2 linked regions of the Caenorhabditis elegans genome follow. The protein of the gene in region 2 interacts with the protein of the main gene of each other region in a pairwise test. Each region holds a gene or a part of one and is shown on either strand. Other genes may lie near its edges.

Region 1 (16,118 bases), on a different chromosome or scaffold from region 2:
ATTCGGATTTTGGACAAAAAAAAATAGTTCTTGATACAAAAAGTGGCATGAGAATAAGAAGAATACTTATTTTGCACTTACAACGTATATTTTGGCTTTAAAAAATTTTACAGTTTCAAGCAAAACATAAAAATGTTTACAATTTTAATTATTCAATCCTATCATACTTTCAAAAACATGTGTTTTCTTGTTTTTTATTGGTTTCTTGAAATGTTGTCTGAAAAATCTTGTAACCAGAACATTTAGAACAATCAGACTAACAACTTGAATTTTAAAATATCTGGAAGCATAAGAGTCAAAATAAGTATTAAGGCCACATATCCAAAAATTCTAACTGTATCAATAACCTATTTTAATAAATAGAACAAATGTGTTCCGTTTAATATTCTTAAATTTTTATGATATCTGTGTACTGTGTGGATGTCTAGTTAAACTTGTGAAGAACCTAATCATAATTTTATAAAATTTTATATATGCAGAACATTTAAATAATCAATTTTTAAAAATTTTGCAAATTGTTTTCTTTTTTTTTTATTCAACTTGGTGCCAAATTTTAAAGCATATTTTATAGTTGAAGTAAGGTCAGTGGATATTTGGATTTAATATTTAACAAGTAGCTAAATACTGTTGATTTTCAGAAAAATTCAATTTCAAACATTTTCAAAACACTGCGTTTTTGTTAGAATTGTCTGAACCTCAAAATTAAGAATCTAACAAAATTTATCTTCTACTCTTTTACAGAACTATAGAAATATGAATTTAAAAAAATAAATTTCTAATTTCTGAATCGTCGAAAAAATTTAAGAAAAACTGAAATTTCTCAAAAACTAAACGGATTTTTAAACTATTTCCGGCTATATTTTTTTCTTAGTGTTTTCAAAAAACCTTCATTGTAGTGTTAATTAATTACTATTATTCATTAATTCAGAAAGATTTAAAAACTGAATAATCTATAAATACAAAGGGCAATAAAGCCAAACGAAAGCAAACAACTAGCTGTGAAACTTTAGATTCTTCATACTATTTTAATTGAGTATATTTTTTGACTGTTTCAAAAAACTTGTTTTAAAGGTATGTGTTTTTCTTGGTATATTATGAAATGAATATCTAGTAACCAAAAAAATGCATAATTTATTTTTTCTTCAACTTATAAATTTCCTTTGAGTAATGGTTGAAACAATTTTGCAAAACACTGTGAAATAGTTATATTTCACCAGTGAGGCAACTCGATTTTATATACTTATTTGAAAATGTTTCTAATAAAGCAAAATTTGCTTAGATTTAAAAAAATGAGTATAAATATTAATAAAAATGTCGATACATTTTCGCAAAGGTTTCATATTTTTCGGTATTTTCAAATTGTTTGATTTGACTTTATTGAAGATTCTTTCCAAAAAAATTTCTAAAAAGGTTTTATGGCGATTTTAAATAACTAATATCTGCAATTTTGGCCACTTTTTTTGTGTCGCAGTGCAAAGCTTACTTTTGAAATAACATGAGAAAAACGTCCAACATTTGCAATAAAAGATTCATGAAAAGTTGCCAAAATTGAAGAATTGTAAAAATAACTTACCCTAATCAAAACTATAAATTGACCGTTTTCTTTTCCGAATCAAACGTTCTTCTTCTATTCCGATCGAAGTCTCACCGAACCAAATCTCCTACAAAAAAAAGAACGAATTATCATATCAATTGTTAACAGCCAAACAACAAAAACGTGCCTTTGTCATGTAAATTATCATAACCAACCACAAAAGAAGAAGAGACCACCCAAGACGGCATATTTGAAGTTCTCGCTCTTCTGCACTATTTCCTATCACTGATTGGGATACTGTAGGCATATCTGGAATCAAAATATTAATTATAGAAGTTGATGGAAACATTAAAGTAAACGAGAGAGACTTTTGGTAAATTTCTGCAATAAATGCGTTTTGGCAAGAAACTACTGTTTCAATAAATTTATGAAGTTAATTATTTTAGATGACTTATAGTTAGAGTTAGTTAGAAAGCAACTTTTAAATGTAATAATTTGTTTTATCATTTCGATTTATTAGTATTCACTGAGTACAACAGAACATAATTAAAATTTTAAAATTGAATTTAGAATTGAAAAACTCTGACACAAAATTTAATTCTGGAATAAATAATTAAGGTGAAAAATATAATTATCAAATGGGTCAACAATTGTCAATATTGTTTAGATAACTAGAACATAAAATCATTTGCGCGTGAATTAAAAATTCAGCACAATTCGTCGATTTTGAATGATTTTCTATTTTTATTAAAACTTTTAAAATAAAACTTCCCGTTTTCATTGCTTTTTATCAGGTCTTCCCATAAGTTTTGTATATTTTTCAAAACTTTTGAACACGTCTGACAGAACAAAATCGAATCTTTTATAAATGTACATGTTTAGTATGGTTAAGATTATTATTGAGCAGTTTTAGACGTGACTATTTCAAATTGCTCAAACTTAGCAACCACTGTGTGAACTTATGGGAAGACCTGAAAATTTAAAAAATCATTTTAAGTTCTGGAACCCGAATCGTATTTTAAGAAGGAAGTACACTACTTATTTTATTCAGGTTGAAGACCTAACATCTACACAGTAGGTCTTCAGGTAGGCACAAATAACCTGCCAGCCTACCTACAATTTTTATGATGCCTAAACGTTTGCCTACACAAGTGTCTTATTTCAAAATGAAAATAGGCAAGAGGTAGGCACGCCAAGAAAGAGAAAAAAAGTCCCAAAGTCAATTTTCAGAAAAAATAAAGAAATCAATGTAGGACAGCTAGAATGTTGGCTCAAAAAACTGGAAAACCGGAAATCGAACATCCATCCGGCTTTCCAAATGATACACTCTCTGTGATTATTATAGAGAAAAAGGAATAAAAATAGCTCTTCTTGAGGACCTCTTTTCCATTGAAAGACAGGACTGAATTGAATTATCGGCCCAAAAAAAAGGAGCAGCAGCCGAAGAAAATGGAGGAAACGGCGAAGAAAAACGGATATACATACATAAACATATGTTTAAAGTGGAAAAAGAAAGAAGAAGAGTCTAAAAAAAAAGGATATGGAAATGAGTTTGACAAAAAATGGAATGAAAAGGACGTTAATTATAGGAGAGAAACATTGAAAATCCTTGAAAAACCGCAATTTGATGGCATGATCTTTGAATTGGAGGTAATACACACGTCACTTTGGAATTACTGGAATAAGACTATGAATTCGGTTTTTAGAGGTGGAGTAGCGTGAATGATTGATTTAAAATATTTTCTTTAAAAGTCTGAAAATCAGAAATTCCAATAACTTTTTTTTCTAGAGTTTGAATCCCCTTTGAAATGAGAATCTGAGCCCATTTTTTCCATCTGATTGGTCAAAAATTGGTTTTGAAGCTTTAATTCCTGCGGAAATTCAGACAGGAAGATACATAAGTCACAATGGGAATATCTCGTTGTATAAAATAGTTTTTTTTTAATATTTTTTAATTTTTCGTTTTTAAGTTTTGGCATTTCTGAAATCTCCTACTACCTTTAAGTTCTTATAAATAACCAAAATATTATTTTTTTTGTTTACATTAAGCCATCATTTGTTAGTCATGATCTTGTTTGATGATGACAAATGATGACAACGAGGAGAACTTCGTATATCGACACAAATCATCTCTTCCGCGCGCCCCGCCCCATTGGGTCCCGGATGTCTGTCACTCTCTAACTATCTACACTCTCTGTACCGGTAATACTAAAAGAAGAACAAGAAAAAGAGCAAGAAGAAAAGCTCATTTCATTTCTCAAAAAAAAGGAAAATGTATATTCTGAAAGTGACAGCTGCTTATCACACTTGGCAGGCATAATTTGAAGAAAGAAATGAAATTTCCAACCAACTTGAATCACAAATCAATCAGGTTTTAAGGGAAACGTAGGAAAAAATTTATAAAAGAAAATTGGAGTCACGACTTCTCGAGGGACAATTCAATTGAATTAAAGAAAATTGCGTGCACTTTTCTCCGTTTCAAGGAACTTTTCCGGTTTCGAGAGTTTGAGAGAAGAATAGAATTCCAAAAAGTGTTTCCAAGTGAAAAGTGAGCAATTTCCCAAGAGTTTCGGCTCAAATTACCTGCGATGTTATTCTTTTTTGTGTGATTTTCAAAGGACAAAGAGGATTGCAAAGTTTATTACAGATTCAAAATAAGGAATAATACAGCTTAGGATTTGTTATTCGCCTCTTCTGTACAAATTGCGTGAGCCACAAATTCCTTCTCACAGTCCAAGCCGCGTGGTGTGGTTTTCGAAGCGTTGAAGCATCTGAAAATGAACTTTTTGGGTCTCGTTGGGTATTTGCGGCAAGGCTGGAGATTTCTTGAAAGAATTTTTTAAACCAAAATGTTTTTCTGTAAACCTGTCGTTAACTTAAAAACCCAGACATTTTTTAATTATGCACTTTTTTTCAAAAATACTACTCGAAATTGTAGAGCGTAAATTCGCTCAAACCCTTAATGTTTTCAAAAAGAGGGGTTTCAAAAATCTCCGTATATTCGCCGCCAAACGAGACTCATGATTAGGGGGCGGAGCGTTTTTGATTAGCTGTGGAGCGCAATTGCATTCTCATCAAAACTATTGCGTTTCTATAAAATATTACTAACACTAAAGCATCTCTTATCAAATATCCACATCGATGAGCAAGAGCAGAATGGAGGCAGGTGCAGTCGATGTTGATGCTGCCGTCGGGATACACGGATTCTGAAGAATTCGAAATTTCCCGATTCTTTTTTCCAAAATTTTATACCAGGTGTCTCATATGGCTCAAAATATGGTCGGTATTCCATTTTTACCGATTTGAAAAACTCTTCGCGGCCCAACTTTAAAATCTCGTCTTTGGACATTTTTTGGTCTTTTTTCTCGATAAATTCTGAAAACGGAGGGCTATGAAAATCGAATAATTCTATGAAATAAAGTATTTAACTGGGAAATTCCAATTCGTGATGCTCAGAAGAGATTTCAGAAAAAAAATGTTTATTGCAACTCGACCTACAGTAATATTTAGAAAAATATAAATAATAATACAAAAATATTATTTCGGATTAATTTTCAATTCTTCCGTATCCACAGTCATCGCCTTCCGCATTTGTTCTCGTCGTTCATCTGAAAATTACATTTTTTTTATATCTTTCTAAAATATAATTCGTTAACCAACCACTCATATTCTGCATACAGGCGGCCCAATTTACAAATTGATTTGGACATTTTTCCGATGGATCTCTCGTGTCGTCGCTTTTCATACAAATGTACAGCTCTCGGAAGAAGTTGCCGCACCTGGATAAATTCGAGGTTTAAAATATATTAATAGTATTGTTTATTTATCACAAGAAAGAGCTACACCGGAAGATATTATTTATTTAATCTGGTGAAGGTACCTATGTGCTACCAGAGATCCACCTGCCATACATGGACACTGCCAATTAATTGTTCCATCTGGAAACGTTGGTCCTGGAAATAAGAAAAATTAAGTTTTCCTGCTTTTTATCTCAATTATTACCAATTGTTTTGTATTTTTCTGTATTCTGCATTTCTAGAACCCATTCCGATTTTATTGGCTCTTCGAATTCTTTTTTTCCAATGTACAGTACCTCATCTTTGACGTGGCATTGCATTTTTCGTATTAACGAAAAGATGGGCATCGGGAAAATGTTACAATTTGATGGCGGAAATTTCAAAACAAAATAAATATAGAAACTTTTTCGGGATCGATATCCTATTAAAACATCTTGTGATTAGCTTTTTAATCAGCAATAATTTTATTTCAAATGTGAATAAGTTTAAGCTCACAACTTTCGAAATACACAGAATAAATAGAAAATCGTACAAAGAAAAAATATAAAAATTCAGGGGTTCTCTTGGTTGAGATCGAGGAGAGAAAATTATTGGATGTCGACGATTCGAATTAACTTGTGAATCGGAGAAGATATAAATACACGAGAGAATTGATAAATTAATGAATAAATACTTGAAAGCATTTTAAAACAAAGTTTTTACGGGCACTTCTTCTCGACAATCGATTTTCCACTCTCGTCGTACTCGGCCTTGCTCACCCACATTTGTTGGAATGTTCCCTACAAAAAATATGGAATTAAAATAAGATTTTTAAACTTTTTATTATTCACCAAAGATCCGAGAATTGATCCTCCGATCCATGCGCCGTACTTCCGTTCCGCTTGAGTTGGAGCAGCGAATACTCGGAGCTTGATCGTCTGAAATATTTTATTCTTTATAAGCGTTATTTAATTTTGAAGAATTACCGGTGGACACTTTGTGGCTAGAGCATAGTTGAGCCGTTCTGTGAATCCAAGAATCAACGAGTTTCCTCCAGTGACTGTGACGTTCGAGAAGAGTGTCGGTCTGATGTCAATATCTGCAAGATTTGCAGAAGCTGCTGCCATTTGAGCCACTGTCATCAATCCATCCTTCTTTCCCTCAGCTTTAAGGTATCCAAGATCGAATAAACACTCTGGAAGCTTGATTCTTTCGGCTCCGAACTCTTTTGTGTATCCATTAGGGAAAGCATAAGGTGTCGATGGAAGTTTGTCGACGTAGTCCATATCAATACTTGTATCACAGAGTTGGAGCATAGTGGCTGCCATATCCTCCAAAAGCATCTTTTTCATAAATGCATCGTAACTTTTCGTGACCTGTGGTAGATTTTTCCTTGGAGTCCATTTTGGAGCTTCTCCTTCGTTAACTTCTTCTTTTCCACCGATTCTATAAGTCGGAATAACATCAATCTTCTGTTGATCGAGCATTTGAGCCAGTTGTTCTGTGATGAGATCGCCGCCGATTGGACATTTTACCACCGCGTGAGTCACTGCGTAGCCATCGAAAACAGGAACAACTGAAGTTTGAGTTGCTCCAGAATCAACCATCAATCCGTGCGTTCTTCCTTGTGCGAAACAGGAAAGAACAACATTCTTGGAGAGGTAGTACGCAGGGACTTGGAATTTTTCGAACATGATCTCAGTCAGCTTCTCCCGACGAGCACGGTCATTCCACTGAAAACAAGTGTTTCTTATTAAATAATCCTTAATGTTCTTACCGAGCTTTCAGAAAACAAAACCGGATGTTCAGATGGATTGGAGTAGAGGATATTCTCATACGAATGTTCCACAATCTTTTCGAACAACTCCCAATCTTCGACTGAAAAGCATTTTTTTGTTTTTAACTTTAACTTTAACTTCTGTCAAATTACTCACTTAATCCTTCTTTCATAAAACTTTCCATGTTAGTTCTGGCGCGTGGCACAATGATTTTGGTCGTTCCGATGAAAAAATTCTTCTCGCGTTTTGTTTGCACTTTCGAGTTATCACCCTAAAAATAATGATTTCATTGAAAATGAATTAAAAATTGAAACTGCGTACTTCTTCCATAGCCTCTTGTTTCTCAATAGTATCATCAGGAAGTGCTTCTTGAACGGCAATGTATGATGGAATATCTCCCTAAAAAAATAAAGCAATAATATATTTGAAGGTATAAATTTATCAATTCTTGAAATGTTTCTTGCCTTTGGGTATTCTTCTCCAGCAAATCCCACGCGGAATGATTGAGATCCGGCATCGAAAACCAAGCCGCTAACCTCGTCTGCAAAGAAAACGGCGTTTTATCTATAACTTAAAAGATCAAAGTTCCCATACCTCCTCCATAAACTGCTCCACTCATATCTTGATCTGAAAAATTTATAAAAGTTATAAATAAAACCGAGAGAAAAAACAAAAACAACAATAAACGCCGAGGGAAGAAAAATATCAGTTTAAATTTTATGCCGACACCGAGAGTGCGCCAACGCGATCAAAGAACGCGTCAGCAACCACCTGGCGTATTTATCGATTTTTGCTCTTTCATTAATTTTCATTGCCATTTGTTTCTTGCTCTTAAATATTCAATTCTTTTCCAGAATGTCACTATCGGCTTGGAAACTTGACTACACTTACTCTTCGAAGAATTGTCGTACTGCGGACAGTAATTTTAACCCGCCAGGCTTCTACTCGACAGCTGCCACCGTTCAACATAGCGTGAGTTGAATTTCTTCGAGAATTGAAAAGTCTTAAAAAAACAGTTATTCGCTAAAATTGTGTATTTAAAAAACATTAAGAAAGAAAAAAATCTGCTTATTATTAAAACCTTAATTTTATAATTTCTCAATTTTCAGGCCGAAGCCGATCGATCCGCTGATCAACACGAGCATCTGGCACGAAAACGAGTATGGGACACTGCAATGGGACCAGCTAAATCTCTGCCGATGAACATGTTCATGATGTATATGGCCGGAGGCGGTGTGTCGATTTTCCCAATTATGATGGTCGGAATGATGGTGTTTAGGCCGCTGAAAGCATTATTCGCAGTCAATTCCACATTCAAACCGCTTGAGGTAAGTTGCGAGTTCCCACAAACTATAGTTTGAAGCTAATTAGTACTGGTTTTTGTACCTTTTAGTTTTTGTTGTTTGGAGAAGGCGTTAAACAAAAAAATATTCTAACATTTTCAGAGCCCTGCAACTGGATCAATGTTTATTCACAAGCTCATCTTCTGCCTTGGAAACCTCGGAGCAATCGGTCTTGCCATCTATAAAGTACATACAATGGGTCTTCTACCGAATACTCCATCAGATTGGCTCGAATTCATTCCTCAACCGGGTCGTGCTCAGTATTCAATAATCGACGAAGTATTCATCTGAATCTCCGAACGAATCTAGTCAATTTCCATTCCCAATCTTTCCTCCAAACTTGCGTGATCTTTTCCATATTTGATTGCAGAATAATTAATAAGGATAGTATATAATTTATATCATTTTTTCCATTATGCTTCGTTCCCCCATTTCATTGTACTTCGAAAGTCCCCAAATACATAATTATTTTCTATAGTTTTTCTCTCGGAAATTCATGTCACACCATTCAACAACTCACTGATAACACGCCATGCAAAATAAGTTACCAGAGCTCAAAGAATGATGAAGCATGTGAAGAAGCTAGGAACACGGGAATAGTGATCAGTGATACAACAAAGATCACATGTAACAGATTCATAACTATTTTTTATTCCAGGATTTTGAATTCCGCATTCTAACCTACTGCCCGAACGATTTCCGTGAATATTTTTCAACACAACAAGTGAGAATCGAGACAATTTTCTGGAGAATGTTTATTGTGATTCAAAAAAACCAGAAGGAATTGAAACATTGACCAGAGGAAAACAAAAACAAAAAGGAAAAGAGAGAGCAGACATGGGACAGACATTCGGTGAAAGCTCAAAAGTTATTCTGCTAATGCAGACTTCTAGCCTAAAAGGATGCGTATGAGGTGATGGGTACAGTAAAAATGGGAAAATATAACAAAGGATCGAATGGTCAATGAGGATCGGATGAACGTTTCATAGAAAACAATGTGAAATTAATTCAACCTTCCAATCATCGATGGTAAATAACCTTCGATCGTATTATGGATTAATAATGGGGAAAAAGCTCCTGACTTAGAATCATGGAAAATACAATGTTAGAACTTCTTAACCGGTACAGAGAAAAATGAATGACGGGGGTTTGATTACGGGCATGATGGGAGTGAGAATATGACAGATAATATGAGAATGATACATTCTTAAAATGAGGAGCAACTCAGGCATAAGAAATATGACAGATTGAGAGAAGCTGGAGAGGGAGATCATTCATGGAGAGTTGTACCAATTGCCACCTTCTTTGTACGACTTCTCGTTGTTGCAGTTAGGCGCGGTAGGAATCAATGGGTACAGATAGTAAACCCACCTGGAATGATAAATTTCAGTTAATTAATTGATTTAGATACTCACTGTGGATATACGAGTTCCTCGGATTCCTCCACAAAGCCACAAATACTCGAATCGTTCGAATTGTTGGTACCGTTCTACAAAAATACATTACAGCTAATGTTCAATGAAACTTTCTGGTACCCCATCATCGATAATCAGGTCCTGTGCGACAGGCTCGTCGATTCTTTGTCTCTCCACTTCTACTCGAGGCTGTGCCCTCTGAAACGGAATCGGCGCAACGGCGGGTGCTGTAGTTCTTGTCCTTCTATCTTGTGACAATCTCTGAAACCAAGGTTTGTCTCATAACGAAAATATGAAGAAAATAAACTCACTGGACCGGGAGTAGCCGACCGACGCGACATGCGGGATGTCTGAGCATTTCGGGACTCGTTCATCAGCTAAAACAAGAAAAATTAACTTTTTTTCGGTGTACTACAGCACTCACTATGATTTCGTCCGGATAAGATGGCCACGAGTCTGGCGATCCAAGGGAATAAGCACCTGTAGTCACCCAGTCGTACACCCTGAAGAATAAGTAAATTAGGAACATTTAAAAATTAGTTTCATACGTTTGTTGCCTGGCGACCTCACTGACTGGACCGCTCCAGATTTTGTCCCTGTATGCGCCTTTGCTGAAAAGAAAGTACTCGAAAAAATGACATTTTTTATTCAAATACCTCGGGGAGTGCTCTTCTCTTGGCTTAGAACTCCAATTCTGTCTCGTTTGATGACGTCCTCGATAGTTTGGCATCTGAAAACAATGATAAACGTTTTTTGAGCTTGAAAGGAGAAAATTTAGGCAAACTCGTCCAAAAATGAGAATTCAGACCGTTTTAAAAATAGCAAACAAGTTACAGTAATCAAAGGAGCAGTCAGTAAACTAAATTTAGGCCTCACCACGAGTTAGCGAATTTCACTTGCATTTGCGTATTTTTAAAGAATAGTACTTTTTAAAATTACCTCTAGTAATCAAATTTGTTGACAGTTTTGAAATGAATGAAAAATTTACTTTAAAATAAAAGGAAAAGCTGCATTTAGTCAAAAATTATTTGAATAGTTTTGAGCTTTTGTAATTGCGTGGCGAGACCAATGGACTTACCCAATCCGATGTACCTTTAATTTAGCATTTTATTTGCATTTTTGAAATCCTAAAATTCTTTCCTAGGCTTTCGAAATTGACGATTTTCTGTGTTTTTTAAAATTCAAATATCGTTTCCTAGTTTCGAAAATAATTTTTCGTTTTTTAGTGTATCATTTTAAGCTTGTCATTGGGTTTTTTCTTTCTTTGCATAGTATTCCTCGAGGAATTATATTATATTTCACATTTACAAACTCTTGCCTAAAAATGAGACTGTTTTTTTGCAGATGGCGCCCTTGGAAACCATCTACGACGAATCGCTCAACAAATCGGCGGATTCCATTGATGATAAGGTTTTTTTCATGGTTTTATGGCCATTGTAATTTTTTTCATCTTTAGAAATGGTCCAAACTTTTCCCAAGGATTGTCAGCGACCCGGATCGATCATCCAATTTCATGACCAGAGCAATCTACGTCGCGTTTTCGGCTGTTCTTAGGAACCGTAACATTCTTGGACAAGAATATTTCACGAAGAATTACATCACTGGTAAATGTTTTTCTTATCACATTTTATAGTAAATGTTCTTTTTCAGAAAAGCTGAAATGCATGACGCTGTGCTTCAGAAACCCACGGTCTAACCAAATCGCTCAACTACTTCGAAATGCTGGGGATGCAACAAAGGATGGGTTTCTGAAAGAAGTCTCCCTCGTGATCACAAATAATGAAGGAGATCTTGAAGCCATCGAAGTTTTCTCTATGAAGTTCATTTATTTTGAGAATGGCGGCGTGGTTGCTCGTCTGAGCACTGACAAGAATGGCCAGGAAGATCCTCACTTCGCAAAGCTTGCTCAACTTGTATACGAGGGTGGCGACAGCGTACGAGATCAAATGGTGACGATTGTTCGCAGTGTTCAGTTCCTCTGCACAAAAGTTCTCGAACCGTTGCCAGAAGAATTCACGGCTAATTTTCGATTGGAGTACACAAACGATGCTCCATCCAATTTCCGCATTGATGGCTTCGAAGATTCTTCCACTTTTTACACACTTCCTGATGATATCCAATCGGCAACCATTGGTCACTTGCGCCCAGGATGCCACGCTGCAAACATGGAATGCTGGAGCATGTTGATGTCCGATTCATACGAAGCAGAGTTGACTCTCAAGCGACACCTGGACAAAGTTTCCGATAGGCATGGATTCAATCCAGTGAATGTGCTGTATAAATCGTTTAATTCGGAGGACAGTGACACAAGTCTTAGTCAGGCCACTACTGAATCTGTCAACGATCAAGGAGGAAACGAGACTTCTCCGGTGGATGATATAACTGTTAGTTTATTAGTTTTTTACATATAAACAAAAAATTTAAAATTGTAGGAGTCTCTCGAGAAAGCACAAATGTCGCCTATCCAGACGAGACCAACTACTCGCAGAGGAGCCGATGGCAGCAAAACCAGATCGTCTCCATATTCTCGTTCCTGTAAATAATTTTTTTCCTAGCTTTCAATAGATTATAGCTTCATTCTGTAACTTGGCATGTTCTATATCATCGTGTAAAATGTTTTATTGTCTTGAGTGTTTCCTTTCTGCTCCATTATTGTATCCTTAGTTTTTTTTATTCAAATTACAGTCATTCATAAATAAATCGACTGGTGTTATTAAATAGCATGTTTCCCATGACTCCATTTTCAAGATACTCCAGTGCATTTCAGAATTTTTCAACAATTGACCAATCTAAAAAGGATTCTCTCTTTTCTTCTTCTGCTGGATACCGCTCCGAGTATCTTTCGGTAAATCTCGAAATTCTCTTTGTATTCACCATTCATGCTGACCTCGATAACTTTTCTCAAGGTTCTTTGCTAAAATTTATGTGGTTTGCAAGGGAACGTGGCGATTGTTGATTGTTGGTTTCAAGTTTTGAAAAAAAACACAGTTTATTCTACTTTTCAATGTCAGACGTCACAAAATTTATCAGAAAAAGCTTTTTTATTGCAGTGTCTGAAACAATTTTATGTAGTATTCAGGTTGATTGTAGTCGTTTTAAAGGCGCGTGCTACTTTAAATTGGTCTCGCCACGAAAACCATATATTTGTATGTTCTGTTAAAAAATCACATTCTAGCGAACAAATATCTCAATTTTCATTTAAGAAAGAGCAGTCGCGCCTGTCGCCAACAAAATGGATCGTGGCGAGACCTATCGAGAGAAAAATGTTCTTTTGAAGTGGAGTCTTCAGATTTGGCGAATTAATTCACGAATTCACGACTGGATATTACCCAGACACAAAATGTTGTAATTTTTTCGCCAAGAATACCAGGTCATGGGATTAAAAGGATTAAAGATTAAAGAATACAATTTTTGATTAAAAAGATTAAAAATACAATTTTTTATTTCAGAAAATACTGGAAATTCAAACTCTTCTTAATAAAAAACTTAATTTTTATCGATTTTTCATAGTATTTTGGGAAAAATTAATTGTACTTGTATTCATTAAAAAATCTCTCAATGATAATAATAAGAACACATTAATTTTAGCAAATCACATCGATTTTTAAAAAAATCTGCAGCAACGTAGGTTTGGGATTACAGTACTCTTTAAAGGCGCACAGCCTTTTGCATTAAACTCAAATTTTTCGTGTCAAGACCTGGTATAGTATTTTTGGCGCACAAATCACAAAATTCCGTTACTGGGTATTATACACAAATCATGAAAAAATATATTAAAAACCATTTATATACGAAATTTAATTACTGTTTCAGGCACTTTTCAATTACTTTTTAATAAAAAACATCTTATCAATAGAGTTACAATTCTTTGACCGTACATTGAGTGTGTTCTGAATCGTTTCACTTCAAAAAACCTATAAACAAATGTCTTCCACTCTCTCCCTCTCTCTCTTTCCCCCGTCTACCGCCTCTTTCATCGCCCCATAATTTCCGAATTTTCTTCGAAAAATCACTTGCCTCCGCCTTTTTACCTTTTTTTCCAACAAAAAAAATCAGACCACCATTTGGTATCTCACTACAAGAGAGAGAGAGAGGGAGAGACGCAGAAAACGAGATGGTTAAGTATAAAAAGGAGTTGGTGATGACCGTGTTTTGTGACTTTCGGGCTCTTGGAGCCAAAATGTTTGCTTTGTTGTATTCTTATGTTAGTCTAGAGACTTGTACCTTGTACCCATCTACAGTAATCTTAAGCCCCACCTGTTAGATCTGGTTCTTATTTAGCAGTTTACTTTGAGCCACACTCTTCATATGGCAGTTCCTTTTTTTAAGTTTAAAATTGCAGGTAAAAATGCCACAGGGAGAAGTCTCATTCTTTGAGGTGCTGACAACTGCTCCATTCAGTCATGAGCTCTCAAAAAAGCATATTGCACAGACTCAGTATGCTGCTTTCTGGATCTCAATGGCATATGTTGTCGTTATTTTTGGGCTCAAGGCTGTCATGACAAACCGAAAACCATTTGATGTAAGTTTGTAGATTCTCTGAAACAGTAAATTTTCGGTAAAATTTAAATTTTATTATTGAACAGTTTAGTGTTGCAAATAATTAAGAACCCATTTTTTGATTAATTGAAAATACATTGCTGGTAGATTAGAACTCATTTTGTATCACACAATTAAATATTTCCTGAAACAGTAATTATTTTCTTACTTTTAATGCCACCAGATACAAAATACTATTTATTTGATGTTACTTTCTAAATAGATTGTCTGAAACAGTACATCTTTGGTGATTTCTTAACTATTCGGAGGTAATTAGAACTGGAAAGTGGGGCCAGAAATGCGATGTGAGTCTATAGATTCTTTGAAACGGTAAACATTTTATGAAAATTCAATTTTTTTTAATCAAAAGTTTAGCTTTTATCCATTTTAAAACAAAAACTTTTATAAATACTGCTTTGATAACTTTTAAAAGAAAATTGTGATCGTTTCTCAATTAACAGTGGAAATATACTACAAAATAAAAATTGCGGTTGAAACGGGAATTATATTTTCCACCAATCCACCCACTTAAAACCCCACTAATTTATTTCCAGCTCACGGGACCACTGAATCTCTGGAATGCGGGTCTTGCTATTTTCTCAACTCTCGGATCACTTGCCACTACATTTGGACTTCTCCACGAGTTCTTCAGCCGTGGATTTTTCGAATCTTACATTCACATCGGAGACTTTTATAATGGACTTTCTGGAATGTTCACATGGCTTTTCGTTCTCTCAAAAGTTGCTGAATTCGGAGATACACTTTTTATTATTCTTCGTAAAAAGCCATTGATGTTCCTTCATTGGTATCATCATGTGCTTACAATGAATTATGCTTTTATGTCATTTGAAGCTAATTTGGGATTTAATACTTGGATTACATGGATGAATTTCTCAGTTCACTCAATTATGTATGGATATTATATGCTTCGTTCTTTTGGTGTCAAGGTTCCAGCATGGATTGCCAAGAATATTACAACAATGCAAATTCTTCAATTCGTTATTACTCATTTCATTCTTTTCCACGTTGGATATTTGGCAGTTACTGGACAATCTGTTGACTCAACTCCAGGATATTATTGGTGGGTTTTTGTCCAATATGTAGTGTCTTTTTTTAGTACATAGTGTAACACGAAACTATACAATGCAAGTTAATATTCCGCCTAGATTTGATTTTTTTTGGTGATTTGCTTTAGTTTTTCAAACATGTATTTTTTTAACTGTGATAGTTAGCAAAATATTACCATTTCACTAAATGTTGTCGTTGTCGGCTGCTGTAATTTATTTCAGAACATGAGTTTATACAGCTTTGACACTAAAATAATTAATCGACAACATTTTGTAAATTGAAAACATTTTGCTAAATATCACAGTTTATGAGTTTTTTTTGTTGTTACCAAGCAACTCAAGGAAATTTGATAGTGGACACTACATATGTATTAGAACAACTAAAATTTGTAGAAAATTTACAATACTTTTGAAACAGCATAAAATTAGTAAAATGCAATATTTCCAGGTTCTGCCTTCTCATGGAAATCTCTTATGTCGTTCTGTTCGGAAACTTCTACTATCAATCATACATCAAGGGAGGTGGCAAGAAGTTTAATGCAGAGAAGAAGACTGAAAAGAAAATTGAATAAAATATTAGAATAGAGATAATTTATCTTTTTTTTCCGGGTAGTTTACACTTTCTATTAAATGTTCTGATTTGTATAATAAAGGTTTAGTAGAATA
Region 2 (16,249 bases):
CCGATATCTCCAACAAAGTGAGGATTGTCTGTTCCACCAACTATATTGAATCCGAAACCTGTAAAATGAGTACTATATAGACGTTTAAAAATACAATTTATACCTTTAGATGTTTTTTCTATTTCAACTACTGTCAATGCCTCCAATGGAACAGATTCTTGTCCATTTCCATCTGTAGTCGTATCATTGAATGTCATGTCGTCCGTTGCTTCTGCAGCAAATGAAATATCGAATGTATGATCTTCATCAGCGTGAAATGGGGAGGAAACGAGAGCGGCATGATCTGAATATTCTTACCAACTCTCGAGTCCTTCCATAGTTTAATACTTACGTTCATAAACTGGATCTGAATCGGTATTGAACACTGTATCCTCTTGCGGAGGAGACACCATCATTCTGAACAATTTGAAGATTTTTGTAAATTTCGAAAATCACTAATTCCAAATGAAATAAATAATACACAGAAAACAACTGCTGTAATTATAAACGTAGAGAAATAACACCATTTAAAAATATTTATTCATGTGGTTGCGGATGAATTGTATAACTGGATATGAAATTTCGTTTTCACATTTTTTGGAAAAGAGTTTAAAACTTAGGACTGAATCCGTAAAAAGTGAGAAAAGAGAACGTTGGAAAGAGATAGAAGTGAGAAACCCATATGGATGGTAATCAGTGCTGATTATTGAGCCTGTTGTTCATTAATTTGTAGATGCTCTCCTTTACATATTGCTTATTGTGGGGGACATATGTGTATGTTGTCTGCAATTTTTTTTCCGATATTTAAAATATGTTTTAAAAACCAACATTGTCGAGAACCAGCATTGAAAGATCTTTGAGGTCGTCGATGAACTCGAAAAGGTGCGATATGTCATAGGTGATTTCGTTTTGAGCCGGAACCTTCTTTTTCAAATATTCTTCGTAGACTCTGCAGATTCCTATAAGTTAAAAGTTTTTAATTGATTATAAACTTTTAATTTTAAAATGTAATTTGGTTTTTGTTACTCACCTTCAAGACATTCCGTGGTATTCTCATAATCCGACCATGAACGTGACTCGATGTTGTCTGTCGGTTGGAGCAGAAGAATTGTGTGACTCATTTTCAAAAAATTGAGAATATTTTTGAAAGGGAAAAAACGGAGTAAATCTGCAACGTCAACGCAAAAAAAATATTAGCAAGAAGTGCGCCAGTACGTCGAATAGTGCGTCAGCGACGTCCACTGGCGCGCTTTTGGTGTTCGGGCAATTTTTATTTTTATTTTTTCTTTCTTCTATAATTTAACAATTTCCATACTGTTTGAGGTTTTTTGCATAAATTGTGAAAATCGAACAATTCCTATCAAATTTTCATTTTCTCAACACAAATTCTAAAAATTATTTTCAGGTGATTTCGCCATGTCAGGCTTATCTCACGCCGGCCGCCAGGTTGCACGTATTGCAGTTCGACAAGCATCGTCTCACTCTCAGTAAGTTTTTTTTAGTGTTAAAGGCTAAATAATCTGATGTCAAGAAATCATGTTAAAAAACGATATCAATGGAATTTTCGATATTTCAGAAAATATCTGTGTTCTTACCAGGAATTTTATTTTAAACAATAGCTTTTTCGTATTCGTAATGCAATTAGTTTACTAAGTGATTATTCTTAACAAATATAACAAATGCTCACTTTCTTATTTAATCTGTTCCGAAATACTAAATATTTAATCATCTATCCAAAAATATGCGTTTGCTCCCTTTAAAAGCATTAAAAAATGCATTAAATTGTTGATCTCTTAAAGAACAAAATTGATTTTTCAATGCTTGTAATATCTATCCCTCGAATACAAAACAGTTTCCTAAATTGGTGAATTTTTGAATCATAAATTTTCAAATTATTGCAGTGACTCCCACGCCGTCTGGAAAGAAATCAACAGACTCGGAAGTGAGGGAAAATGGGATAATGTGAACAACATGCCAAAAATGTTTTTGTTTGGTGAAGCCAAGCAGGAGACGACAGCTGCTTATCGTGCAATTGTGAGTTTTTTAAAGAATTAATTATGTTCCCGAAAGTACAGTCGGTTCGAAAATAGTTCGAAAATATGTTTTTGTTTTGAGAATTAATTGCAATGCTTTCAAAATAAGATAACCTTAGTACTTAGTTTACTGAATTTTTAATTTTTTGATCATAAAGCTTCCACAGCTATAGATTTATAGTGTCGGGACTGTCCGGCGAGGCTAAAAACTTGGCTTTTGAAGCCGCCATAATGTTTTTAAAAAAATTTCAAAGTTCTTCACAAAATCATATATTTTGTTATGAAATGGCATAAGTACTACAAAAAAAATCAATTTTCTCATGCATAAGTAATTAAAAAAATTTTAAACAAGAAAACGTTCAATTTTTAAAAAGTGACAGCATAAAATAAAACGCAATGCGATTTGTATTGTTTTATTTCAGAACAAAGACCCCGACTTCTTCCGTCAATCTCCATATGGTCAATATTTGAAAATTGTGTGGCGATTGGCTCTTCTTTTCGGAATCATCAAAGCCGGAACTGTTGTCTACGATTTTGCCGTTCCAGAAGAGCAGCGACTCAAGTACAAGTACCGTAATCACGGACATCACGGTCACGACGATGCCCATGACTAAATTTCTGATTCACCACCGTCCGAACGTCTTCTTTTTGCATAGGAAGAAAGAGCCCATTTTAGTGTATTTGTAATCATTATCATTATCACAAAAAGATTTTTCTTGTAAAAAATGTCTTCCCATAAACATTCACAACATTGCAAAGAACATATCCAATATTCGAATTAGAAGACCACCCAGATGGAAATTAAATACGTCGGCTGGTTTTATTTGCGCCGTCAATTCAGTTATCGAAAAAATCATCATCGTCATAAACTTAGTTATTGATTATTTCCTGATAACTACTTATACGTTCAACCAAATCATTTCGTTATCAGCCACAGTTTATATGTGCCATAAGATTCTTCAGCACTCAACTTTTCCAGTTTCTTATTTTTTGAACTTACCAATGCTAGAAGTATAAACATAGAAATTCACATTCTTTCTAGTTAACTTCTCTGCAATGACTGGTCGTTTTTGGAAAACATGGTTTGTACTCAAACTATTCAATTTTTTTGCCGAATTCTTCTTCGAGCCCTTGCCATAGATTATTCATTGTGTGACATCTCTATTGTATTCTCTATTATTTAGTACTAACTTCTCTGGAATTCGACTTGCATGTCATACTATTAGAGTATATGGCCGTGATGATAGGCTTGTGATGATATACCTTGTGAGGGCTGTGAAAAACAACAAAAAATCGAATTTCTCCAGAAAACCAAAAAAAAAACACTCTATTTTTTTCGATTTTTCATCAATCCAACTAAAACATAACATCTTTGAAAAACAATTTTTCTGTTAATTTGGTCTGAAAAAAAAATCAAAAATCCATTTTTACGAAAAAACCAAAAAAGCAAAAAACCGACAGCTCTGCTATGATATACTCATCTATGATGTGATATAGATGAATGTCTAGCGATGATTTTTTATAGAAACAATATGCCCGATTATTGAGCCTTAAAAATTCACTAAAATTTCTCAATTAATCTTTGTTTGCCGAGTTTGACATATAAGTTGCTAGAAGCTATTGATCTTTTCCATTTTCCAACAACAAATATTTGACCTTCAATACAACAACACTAATTTATTAGCACAATCACTATCAAATCTGCACGTACTTTTGTATTTATTTAATGATTTAATCAAGAGTCTTTTATCAAACTACATAGATATTCTAAGTGTCACATGAAAATCAGTTGGCAAATATATACATTTTAAAACTATTTTATAAACCGTTTCAAGACAAGTACACTTGAAGCTATCTCTGATTACTAAAATACTATCAAGATCTATCTCTTCAGTTATTGATGTTCTTACATGTATTGCTATTGACATAAAATTCTACGTATTTACAGAACAAATGTTGATATTCCTGTTTTTGCTGTTTCTTTCAGCTCCACTATGCAAGTTTGTATTGTATCCAGTGATATACGCGTTCCTTAAATGGAGACATCCGGTCAAGTGAGTACTAATGTGATTATGGACCCAGTATGGGGCAATTGATCACTTTTTTGTTTACGACCCAAACTGGTTATCTATATTGAAATTCGAGTTTTTTGTCAATTGTGATTTGATACTATCAGTTGATTAACAAGTGAGCACACTTTTTTTTTTGAATGAATAGCAGAAACCATACTTTGATAAATTGACAAAAAGTTGAAACTTCTATCTAGATTTCTATGGAAAATATGAACGATGACTATCCGATTCGTTCACTCTTATAGTATTTAAAGAAAAGACATGTGCTTGAATAGATAAAAGATTGATTTAAAAAATTACTCAAACGTTTTTGCAATACTTTAAATACCACTCATTTTTTTTCGCTGATCGAAATTTGGAAATCGTACTTTTAAAACATTTTCAAAATAAAATCTTTAACTGTTCCCTTCTTGCATATTGATGGTATTCATGCATATTGTCTTTTTATAAGTTCTAGTGAATTACCGAGATTTTTTTGATTTTTTTTAAACTAAAAAAGGCTACAGTAGACTCAATACAATTTCAGAAAGTTCACTGCTCCAACTGCAAAGATTCGTGACATTATAAACCCTGATAAAGAGGAATGGGAACTGGAACATATTAAAAATGAAGTATGAATAATAAAAATAGACACGAAATTCGTCCTTTTTTTGCAGGAAATTCTAACAATTAGCGGTTCTGGAGAAGATAATAGTTTTGTGTATATTCAAGTTATAACAAAGAATGAAATTCATTTTGCTCATATTCGAGTTTTCGAAAAAGGAATTCTTTATTCCGGATCATACAAAGCAGTATTCTCCGATAATCGAACAATTTCATGTGGACCATTGCTAATTGAGCTTCGAAACCCATTCCGTAAATGGAGAATTAATTTCCGTGGATACCTGAATGATGCTAAAGGCAACTCTCATTTTGTTATACTTTCGGGATGGTGGAAATGTGTGTCGAATGCTAGATTTTTCTATTCAAATGCTCTTTTGAAGTCATTCAATGAAATTTACAATGACAAACCAACTGCACTGATTGAGAATTTGAAAACTATCGAAAAGTGACTGAATCATTTCTTACAAATACGTTATATCAACTTTAGGTACCGAAAAGGAAATGTGTTAAACCAAATGGGTGAATATCACGCAGAAATCAAAATTGGGAAAGATGAAGTTGTCGAACATAGATATAGAGGTTGAAAACACACGATACAAAAACCAAATTCCATCAAAGTTTCAGGACTTCGTCATAGAAATCCATTAGACTTGGAGACAAGTTCTACACATTTTCATACATACCTGAGCGTAAGGTTTATTTATCTTTTTTGTATTATAGAAAAGTAGAAATACTTTTTGGCTTATCCCGCTTAAGAAAGTAGTTTTCAGGATGCAAATGCAATTTCCTATCGTGTCAACTCTGTAGATGAAAAGAAATCAGTTAGTCACGGAGTGGGATTCCGTTCAGATCACAGTGCTCGTCCAATAATTATTGATAATTCTCATTCCCTTGAGTCAGATAATATGCTTCCAGTTCAATTCAAATATGTTTCACGTGGACTTCTCCCTCTTGAAATGAGAAAAGGACGAAAATTATGTCATTTCACGTTTATTCGAGAAGACAACAAGGTTGTCGACGTTACTGCGTTAGAAGTTAATTCTGCAATTTTTACGGGAGTTGGATTTGTGGTTAGAGTGAGAGAGGCAATTCATGAAGTTACAACTAAACTTCCCGATAGTTTCCCGGAATATCATGCAACTGAATCAGAAAAGATGAAATCAGTAGTCTCATTCAATCACAGAGCATGTCAGGATAAAATGTTAACTGGCGGAAAAGGTGCGAATTTAGCAAGACTTCAAGCAATCACCGATGATGTAAGTTCTGAAAGTAAGCATATACAATGTTGAAATAGATTTTCAGTTCCATGTGCCTCCTGGAATAGTTGTCACTACCGCAGCTTTCAACAAGCATGTAATTGCGAATCCAAATGTTTTAGAAGAAATAAAACTTCTCGATATCAACGATAAAAATGCCGAGTATTATGAGGATGTTGGTAAAAGGTAATAAAATAAGTTATCAATCCAATATTTAGAAACATGACATATTTTAGAATTGAAGGGCTTCTTTTCGAAAGTGAAGTGTCTCAAGAACTGCAAAAAGAAATTAAGGAGTGGTTACCGCGTTCTGAATACTATGCAGTAAGATCATCTGCAGTTGGAGAAGATGGAGCAGATCTTTCATCAGCTGGACAACTGGAAAGTTACTTGGATGTGATTGAAATTGATATAGTTGATAAACTGAAGCTGTGTTGGGGCTCTAATTTTAGAAGAGAAGTATTGAATTACAGAAAGTAGGTTTTAACAAGTTAAAATTTCAATCACAATGTGACGTTTACAGAAACTACGGTCAGCAGCTTAATCCGTCAATGGCTGTAGTTATTCAAGAAATGGATCGAAACGGAGTGGCTGGAGTTATGTTCACCGCAAATCCAGTAAAATTAGATCGTGGAGAAATTGTGATAAATGCATTGAAAGGAAGTGGGGAACAAATTGTGAGCGGTGTGACGACACCAGATGAGATTTACGTAAATCGAATCCATAAAACGGTGGTCATAAATGTAAGTTGGGTTTTCTTAAAAGGATTTTTGCTATATTTTACCTTTTTGTCAATAAAGAAGTACTACAAAAATATTTTCAGAAAGTTGGCGTCGATTGTTGCTTGGATGACTATCAGATTGAGAAACTTACCAAAGTTGGAGAGTACTTGGAGAGAATATTTGGAAAACCTCAAGATATTGAATTTGTTGTTAGAAATCAAATGGTTAATATTGTTCAAAGTCGAGATATTACTGGTTTGGATAAGGAGACTCAATTTGAAATGTGCACAGAATATAATTCGCCAAGTATTCATGACAAAGAAATTCTAACAAATGCAAATGTTGGAGAAGTTCTTCCAGTTCCGGTTAATGCCATGGAAGCTCATAATTTAACTGGAATGTTTGATAAAGTCATTGCAGTAAGAATAACAATATAATTAAAAAAATTAAATTATAAACAAAATTTCAGTCAATGACATTTCAAGAGCTCAATGATGTTGTGCCGGCACATACTTCAATCGGCTTTTCCGTTGCACACCGTAAAATATTTTTCAATTTGGGAGAAGTTGTTCTTCGAATTTGGGAACTGGTTGAAAAAGATCGAATTACTGATATAGTGATTGCTGGAGAAACTCTTTTCAATGCGGAAATGTTCCAACAAGCAGCTCATCAATACGGAAAAGTTTCACCTTTCTTTCCGTTGAAGAGAATGTTCAACATGATCAAGTTAATATATTTTACATCAAACAGTGTGAAGGCGAAAATTGTCAAAATCGACGAGGAAGCAAAGAAACTGGTGCCAAATGATAAAATGACGATTGAGATAGTATTCAAAAAATATGACGAGCTTGAGAAGTTGTGGTGTGATGCAAGCCATTGTCACACCAGTCTTTCAATGTTCTCTTCTTTCACATATGTGCTATGTGGAATGCTTATTCGTGGAAGTGACAGTTAGTTTTTGTGGAAAGTGTTGAAAGGCCTTCAAATGATATAGAGTTTAACTGGAATTCTTAAGGAAGGGTTAAGCTCTCCTTAAAATACTATTTTTGATAGGTTTTTAAGAGTTCACACAATTGATGATTACGCATTAATCATTTAAAATTGTGTTTGTTATTTAGCAGCATACTTGAAAATACCTATAAAATTATGATTTCTGTGTCAAATCTGTCCTCCTTTTGATTCTTGAAATTAAGTATTTCTAAGTTGTAATTATTCAAATTTTATAGAATCTGATATCAACTTCCATTCAAAATATTTTTCAGATGGACCTCTTTCCAATGACAATATATCCGATTTTGCCAATGTGTTCTCCAATAACTCTCGTGGAGATGTAATCAGTGCTGACGTTCCAAATTCTTTAAAGAAACTTGCAAAAACCATTCGAGAAGAGAGTATTGATAAAGAATTTTGTGCTGCAGAAGACGATGAGGCTTTGAAAACACTTGAAAACGGAAAGAAAAGCTCTGACGAATTGAGAAGATTTCTAGAATTGCATGGACATCGAGGGCCGAAAGAACTTTATTTAGATGCTACCACCTGGGAAGAGGACACCAATTTATTAGTTCATACAATTAAAAGTATGTTGGCTTGCCCAGAAACGTCTGGGAAGACTATTGAGAATGAAGATGATATTATTGATAACTTGAAATGCAAGCCGACTGGTATTAGAAGGTGGGAAACTTTTTGTAACCATTTGAAAAAAATGCATTTACACATTTCAGAAGACTTTTGAAATATTTCATCGGTCAGACACACCGTGGAGTTTCATTTAGAGAAACAGCAAAAAATCATTTAGTTTCCACGACACATTCTCTTCGAAAGGCATGCAGAATGGTTGGAAAGAAGTTGTATGAAAAAGTGAATTAATTTAAAATTTGCTGCAAGTAATTTTCAATTTTAGGGATATCTTCCTGATCCAAATCTTTGGATGCACTTCTCAATGGACGAACTTAAAGAATTGAATGCAACAAGAAGTGCAAAACTTGTTTCCAGAGCAATCAGAAGAAAACAGATTTCATCGAAGTTTGAAGGTCTCCAATTTCCACTTGTTTCTCATGGATACATGAATCCAATTAAAATAGAAATCGCTGAAACTGATGCAAATATTGGTATCATTCTTCGAGGAACTACAGTATGCGAAGGAAAAGTTAGAGCCAGAGCAAGAGTTGCCAAAACATTGGAAGAAGCAAAAGAGACAAAACCAGGAGAGATTCTCATTACAAAATACACGGATATCTGTTGGTCTCCATTTTTCCCAATTATCAGTGGAATTGTCACCGAGATTGGAGGACTACTCAGTCATGGGGCTGTTGTTGCAAGAGAGTATGGACTACCAAGTTTGATTGCAGTTTCCAATGCAACATATCACTTTAAAACTGGTGATCTTGTTGAACTGGACTCTATTTCTGGCACAATTAGCCGACTGGACACTAATCAGGAATAAATTTATGTAATCAATTTTTTTCAAATAAAACTGTTTTATGTGAGTGTTTATTCAAAATTTGATATTCTAGAACACAAATAAAAAAGATGCGTATGTTCACATTGGTCAGTAAATCAGTAAATAAAAAATATGTTAGTACACGGAACTTGTTACCATGACAGCTCTACTCCTGAGACTGGGAAAATGGTCTGTTGCCATTGACGTACGTACCTAGAAAAATAAGACATGTTTCACAGAATTATATATCATTTACCTTGGTACTAAAATACATAATAGTCCATGGATGATTGAAAGTGAGTATGTCACTAACAAAAGGCATCAATGCTTTTGCAGTTTGGGCTCCGACTGACATTCCTTCTGATGGTGCGGCGCGAAGAATCAACTAAAAGTATTGAAATATTGAATAACTGAGGAGGCAAAACCTAAATACCGTATCTCCGAGAGCTAATAGCTGAATAATGAACGAAACAAAGCTGACAGTAAACAGATTTCTCTCTGCACCACTGATCCTTGTTGGAAGAAGAGTCAGACGAATTATTGAGACAATGTTTGCAGTTGCGGTAAATAATGTAAAAACTATCATGAATGTGACTAGCGAGTTTAGCACTTCTGTTGAGTTCTGAAAAACGAAAAAATTGAATATATTCATAAATTCAGACTTTAAAAATGTTTTGAGTTCATGTACGCTTTGACACACTTTTAAAAAAAGTATCTCATTGAGTTTGAATACATTTGCAACAAATTGTAAAATTAAAACATACGGCTACAGTTTTTGTTGCAAATCCTCCCAATGTTGGAGAATAGATAAAGTATGCGTTGTTTGTCGCAATTGGCCATGTCATAATCATAGGGAATATAATAACTATCATAATAAGGAAAGGAAGACTCGGGCGCCATATCTGAAATAACAAAAACACTTAATAAAAATCGTAATAAAAATTCTCTCGAGGTCTTCTAAATAGCATGAACTCCTAACTCACTTTCTCATAACTGTCAACAAAAAATACCATCGTCAAACGGTTGAGAGAAGATAAAAATGTCATGAAATACTGAATGAATGCCATGCAATAGTGAATGGTAAAGAATACTTGAAGAGGAAAATTATCTTCTTCTGTAGAAGAATTTCTCTCAAAAAGAAATGCAAATGTACAATTGTTGCAAGTATTTTGAGGGGCGCGAAGAGTAACAAATGAATTGGCAAATGTTACCATGTTCTGAAATTCATTATAATGAAGTACAGTGAAGACATTTTCAATGGCGGTAGAAAAATTATCTTTTTCATATAAGCTATTTAGGAAAGTACCATATTGTATGTTCTCTATTTTATGAGCATTTTTAAATATTGCACTGGACTACGTTTTTCGAAAATTAGGATCGCAGTCTCTGTCACTGCACCATTTTTCAGTTGCGAGTCACATAATGATAGTTTGAGCATTTTAATGAACTTAGTTTTTTTGTAATAAGTTTTTTTGCTCTAGCAGTGTGCTCACACTAATGAACAAAAATATGATTAGTTGTTTCCCTTCTCTTCATTAACTACTTGTCTTGCAAATAAAAATACGAAAGTTGTCTATTTTCAAGAGATCTGTTGCAAAACAGAATCCCTCAGAACTTACAAAAACATATTCTATAATAAACAGTTTGAAAAACGCAGTGTTGTATTCATTCCATCTTCTGATCATCATAAGAATGATCAAAGTGTACAGGTAGGAAGAAGCAACACCATAAGCTGCCGGAAGAAAGAAGAGAGGGGTAAGCATTTCAAACTGAATAAATGAACCAGAAAGGAGAACTTGAAGTCAGCGTTCTGACCAGACAATCCCAAAGGTCGATGAGCCAATTAGCACAGAAGAGTTCTATTCAGCATATACTCTGACGTATTTTATTCTGAAGGTGTTAGATGGAGGAAGTGTCATGTGAACAGTTATGTTTTTGACTGGAGAACATAACTTCCGGATAATACAAATATTATCATAATCTGGAATCAAAACAGTTCCTGGAAACTTTTTTCCTTTTTTTGTTTTCATAATATTGCAAAGTTAAACTTATTTTCAATTCTAAAATATAATATTCATGTTGACGCAATTCCCTTAAATGTCTATGTCTAGTTCATCATTTAAACTTTAGCAAATGAAGTGCATATTTATTAAACTTCAGAGATCAGTGCGATAAATTGCTAATGAATACAATCAGTAGTTTCTCCACTGAATTGATCCGCCAGGTTTAAAGTTCCAATGTCGTAGTTGTCTACTCCGAAGTTTTGACCAGAGTTGATTGCGTAGTGTGGAATATCAATTCTCAACTTTTTGTCACACATCTGAATGTTCTTTAATGTAGATTTTTTTGTGTTTGAATTGCACTTACACCGTAATGATTGCAGCTATGATAAATATTCACTTTCGGATCCATATCAAAAACTTTTGTATAATGTCCAGAGACTCTGAATGTTCCATCGTAACTGGTTCTTGTTGAGTCGAGCTTTGTGTCGTAAACTGGAAAAATAATTTGAATTTCAGTGTGAACTGCCTCGTGCCGACATGCCTACTTCCAAAGAACATATTGACTTTTTAATAATTGTATTAAACCTTCATAAATGTTTGCCTGAAAATGTTGCTACCCACCATGGAATCCCAAATGATTCAAAAAAAAACTTTCAATCAAACTTACTCGTTCCATCTTCATACAATTTCACAAGAACATCTGATGCCGGCTGTCCATCACAAATCAATCTCCCTGTCACGGTCACATACTGATCACTTCCTATCAGATTAAAAATAGCATTTGCAGAAGTTAAGAATAAAGCAAAAAATAAGATTCGAATCATTCTAGACGTTTGATTTTTAACATCAAATAGCAATCATTTTTATATCCAAAAGCCCAACCACCCCTTATTTACTCAATACAGTTTGGTCTGTAAATAAAAAGTGAGAAACTCATATTCATTGAAAACAGAAAAGAGTACAAACATCACAAGGAAATGTGATGTCAACTGAGTGACTGTTTCTTTTCTCCATTGGCTCATCAGTGTCTATTTCCCATTGCGACTACTTGAGAAAATATTGAGTCAGACATTGAGAATGATAGTGCTATATTACTTAGTAAAGGTAAAGTCTGAGGGACAAAAACCTATTTTTCAATTCGATATTGCAAATGTAATGAATTGTATATTAATTGTTCGAACATCAAACGAAAACACGAGGTAACCCAAATTATTTTAGAGCCATGAATGTCGTTGTCATATGATGTTTTTGGAGGTGTCTGGTTTTACAATTAAAAATAATGACGAAATGCAAAATACGTATCGATAGAGAGAAGTTAGTTTTTGATAAGAGTAGTCATAAATTATGACGTTTAAAGGGACAAGAGAGAATTAAAACGTGTTTGGGAAAGTTTATGTCTATGTATATGAAGGTTAATTTTCCAATTTCTAGGTATATTTGTCTTTTATCACAGGCCACATAGTACGTGATAATTTGAATGTACGATGATGAGTGTGATATGTACACAAAAAATATAAGACTGATTTACTTTATTAGATGAATCATGAAAAAAAGATCTCAAAAATTGACAAATATGACAATGAACCTGAAGTGAAATTGAGTAGGAATTTAATGATAATAAGCAAGAAAAAGGACGCAGATTGAATCTCAATTAATATCAGAATCTCAATTAAAATTGAATCTCAATTAATATCAAGCAATAAAATTATTCTAAGAACCATGTTTTTCGATACAAAAATTTGGGTGTTCCAAATTCAAAAAAGTCTGAGATCAAATAAGTGCCTTTTCCTTATTACTAAACAAGTTAGTTAGAATGAATTTTTCTCTCGTCATGTCGAAACCGTTTCACAATTCGAACTCCGTTGACAGCATTACGTCGACGATATCCTTCTCCCGTATTTTCAGCTGCATCAACAAGAATTTGATTGTCTTGAACTGTTCGCTTGAATTCTGCCGACTGTGGTTTCTTTGTTGATGGTAATTCAGAAGTTTCTGAGTGCCCATCATCTTCATATTCAACAGTCTCGTCTTCGTAAACCACTGAAAGGTTTTATGAAATATCGCAATTCGTTTGTAACGTTAAACAACTAATTTTTCTTACCTTCTGTGTTCTCGTGTGCAGCTGGAGCCACAGTTTTTGCTTCTACTCGTGGTTCCATGAAGAGGACAGTTGAACTAGTCACAACTTCTGGAGTATAACTAGGAGAAAGAGATGTTCTGACTGGAACCTGGGTTTCTTCAACAACATCATCGTAGTTTTCATTCGCTACTTCAACTCTTTCGGTCTAAAATCCAAAAATCTATTATCCACTATAATAATATAAAAAAAAATTATTTTACCGTAACATCCATATGAATAGATGCTGGAGCTGGAGCAACAGTAGCCTCCTCTTCAACAATTACATTTTCTGGTGCAAAAGTTGTTCCTGATCTTGAATCTCCAACTTTATTACCCTTGTCGTCATAATATGCATAGTAAAATTCATCTTTCTCTCCCTTTTTCACCGGAGTTTCATCGAAATCTGGTACTTCTTCCACTGCTGGAGCTTGAGTGACAATAGTTGGTGCATCAGTCTCATATACTGGAGCAGCAGTAACCACTGGAGTGTAAGTTGTTCTTTCAATTTCTTCTCCATATCCGTTATCATGAAGAGTATTTTTTCGAGTTTCAGCAAGTTCAGCTACTGGAGCAGCAGGCTGAACATACGGTCTTTCTTGAACACGTGGTGGTTGATATGGAGCAGGAGCTGGACGAGGAGCAGGACGTGATATGTATTGTGGGCGAGGAGCTTGTGGTTGAATGTAGCGAGGATTTGGAAGTTGATACATTTGTTGAAGAGATTGAGCTGGTCCTTGTTGGTACTAAAATAATACTATTTTCAACTCACACTTCAATAACTTTTGACGTTAATTTTGATTTTGTTTTTGGAAAATAACTCAATTTATGCTTCACTATCAGTCTCTCAAATGTTAGGTCAAACATTCTTTACTCCAAATTTTGTTAGTTTTTTTTAATTAAAAAAGCCGATTACATTTGGCATTTAGAAAGAAGTAATGTATTTTTCATTTTATAAAAATTGGAATTTTGAGATATTCCTCAGTAACATTGACTTTTTTTTCATTTTCTACTGCCCAAAAGTCTAGTCTGAATGGTGATCAATTAGTACACTAAACCCAAAAAAAATAGCGGAATACTAATGCATTTTGAGGTGGATTATCTCATCTTTTTTGTATTATTTCGATTTTTCTCTGATATTCCTCACCTGTGGATAAGAAGCAGTTTGATAATACGGTTGTCTGAACGGAGTCAGATCTCTGTAGAAAGTAGCATATCCATTGATTGCACCACCTCCGTATCCACCACCATATCCACCGCCAGAGTAGGAACTATAACCACCTCCACCACATCCACAAGATGGACTGATTACGGGCCTTCAAGATAATTAATCGAAGGAAAAATTAAAGATCGGGACTTACGGGCAGAAACATCCATTAGATAAACCTACGAGCAGTGTGGTCAAAGCCACCGAGAAGAAGATCATGACCTAAAAGGTGAATAGATAATTAATCGAAATCGAGTGAAGCGTGAGAAGATTGAAGTGAAACAAAAATAATAATGACGGCAAGTGATGATACTTCCTCTTTTTTTTCCTCCGCCTGCCGCAGATTACAGTTCAAGCCTTTGTCGTTGTGATAATTTTTGAGAGATTGAGTGTCGTGTCCTGTGCAGTTGTAAAATTACAAAGAAAAGGTTCGATGGGAAAGCGAGAGGAAAAAATATGAAGCTAATGAAACAAAGAGGGAGGTAAAACTGTTTTGAGGTAGAACACTCTGAAGTCAATAAGATCAAAGAAATTGAAATCGAGAAAAGGAGAGTGAGAGAAAGGTGAGAAGAAACTGAATGGCATGGACAGGCTAGTTGGCTAACCAGTACTTAAACATTGAGTAAGCACATCGGGTTCCGAGCGTATTTTTACCTGTAGACTTCATGACGTTGACAATTAAACCATGCATATACACTTCAGACGGTCATCGTTGATGAAGTGAGGAAGTGCCCATTGATGATAATATCTTGGATAACATCTGTTCGCAACATCTTAGCATTTCCCTTCTCTTACGCAATTTAGTTTTTCATAAAGTTTTTTTTGCATCTTTTTCCTTGTCAACCTCTTCCTCGTCCAACAACCGCCGCCACAGGCTTCATGCTGATGATGATCTGGTTTTGATTCTAAAATAAAATTTGTCTTCTTGTGTCGCAGAAAAGTGATTGAAAAAGGAACATGTTGCGTGTGTTTCCTCATTTATTCAATAACTACTTTGAAGAATCAAATCACAGAATATTACAGTTGAAACGTATTCAGTTGAAAACTGTCTGGATCTCAGTTATGTGATTTTCAGCAGTTTTTTTTTAAATCGTAGAATAAAAAAGGTAGATTTTGAATGCCAGGATAAGCTTCTGATCAAAGTGTCAGTCATCAGTGTAGAAATGGAAAGCTGGTAGAAATGCACGTATTAAATACATGTGAAACCTTTTGCAGTTGACAAAAATGGCTGAAAATTTGAATCGGGCGTTAAAAAATACTCGAGGAGATAGGTTATAACGTACTATCCGAAAAGTGAACTTTAAAATTTCAAGCTGTAGAACACATAAATCTTGCAAACTAAAAAAACGATATACATCAACTCATTATAACATTTTTTTGCAATATTAGAATTTTGGTCGATTTTTGTACATTCAGGCAAAAATCCATTTGTTCCGTCATTTTTCCTGAATTCTCACAAAAAAAATGCCTATAGCGACTAACACATTGAAATTTTTCTTCTTGGATAGTTCTTTAAAAACTGTTTTTCTTTAATACGACTTTTTGAGTTTACACAATTAAATTGAAAAAAATCAAGTTCGAAGCTAGTCAGTTTTATTTATGACGAGTATCATGTATTAAAGCGTTTTCAATCATTACAAAATATACATTAAACAATTGAAGTTCTCAGAGTTTCGAGATGAAAAATCCTACTTTCCAACTTTTAGAAGCAATTTTATAATAGAAATGCATCTAAACAACAACGCTGAGATCCTTCTTTTCCTCTTTTGAAAGTGAAACTTCCTTGATTGGTTGCTGTACAGGACGGCTCGCTCTCTT

What was found.
Region 1: the proteins of erh-1 (region 2) and ZK616.3 interact in a two-hybrid assay, tested with the Caenorhabditis elegans proteins (one large-scale study listed by BioGRID).

The regions. Positions count from the first base shown.
Region 1 is NC_003282.8:5,386,630-5,402,747, reverse strand, and holds ZK616.3 (CHCH domain-containing protein), read right to left. Parts: upstream 5,680-16,118; 5' UTR 5,679-5,679; coding exon 5,537-5,678; intron 5,488-5,536; coding exon 5,415-5,487; intron 5,314-5,414; coding exon 5,195-5,313; intron 5,143-5,194; coding exon 5,072-5,142; 3' UTR 4,997-5,071; downstream 1-4,996. Other genes in the region: ZK616.2 (CHCH domain-containing protein), read right to left, coding at 4,206-4,305, 4,644-4,740, 4,787-4,883; swsn-6 (Actin-related protein 4), read right to left, coding at 6,030-6,110, 6,162-6,248, 6,297-7,043, 7,088-7,188, 7,245-7,359, 7,410-7,487, 7,553-7,629, 7,683-7,707; perm-3 (ER membrane protein complex subunit 4), read left to right, coding at 7,944-8,060, 8,198-8,416, 8,534-8,722; ZK616.5 (uncharacterized protein), read right to left, coding at 9,706-9,802, 9,847-9,920, 9,967-10,107, 10,158-10,223, 10,271-10,349, 10,395-10,457, 10,503-10,576; htp-1 (HORMA domain-containing protein), read left to right, coding at 11,191-11,256, 11,303-11,450, 11,497-12,230, 12,279-12,389; elo-6 (Long chain fatty acid elongase 6), read left to right, coding at 14,195-14,368, 14,940-15,466, 15,901-16,024.
Region 2 is NC_003283.11:10,577,927-10,594,175, forward strand, and holds erh-1 (Enhancer of rudimentary homolog), read right to left. Parts: upstream 1,216-16,249; 5' UTR 1,101-1,215; coding exon 1,010-1,100; intron 939-1,009; coding exon 808-938; intron 763-807; coding exon 673-762; 3' UTR 501-672; downstream 1-500. Other genes in the region: mics-1 (PDZ domain-containing protein), read right to left, coding at 1-58, 104-283, 332-395; lpd-9 (LiPid Depleted), read left to right, coding at 1,396-1,466, 1,881-2,013, 2,435-2,626; T21C9.6 (Phosphoenolpyruvate synthase), read left to right, coding at 3,966-4,066, 4,611-4,695, 4,741-5,132, 5,175-5,266, 5,312-5,376, 5,458-5,943, 5,990-6,129, 6,180-6,419 and 6 more; srg-32 (Serpentine receptor class gamma), read right to left, coding at 9,241-9,318, 9,362-9,490, 9,539-9,727, 9,870-10,007, 10,089-10,322, 10,725-10,868; ttr-23 (TransThyretin-Related family domain), read right to left, coding at 11,285-11,425, 11,473-11,600, 11,776-11,932; T21C9.9 (Prion-like-(Q/N-rich)-domain-bearing protein), read right to left, coding at 12,913-13,148, 13,210-13,393, 13,449-13,970, 14,372-14,540, 14,586-14,650; T21C9.11 (DUF4149 domain-containing protein), read right to left, coding at 16,163-16,249. UniProt on the Caenorhabditis elegans protein: May have a role in the cell cycle.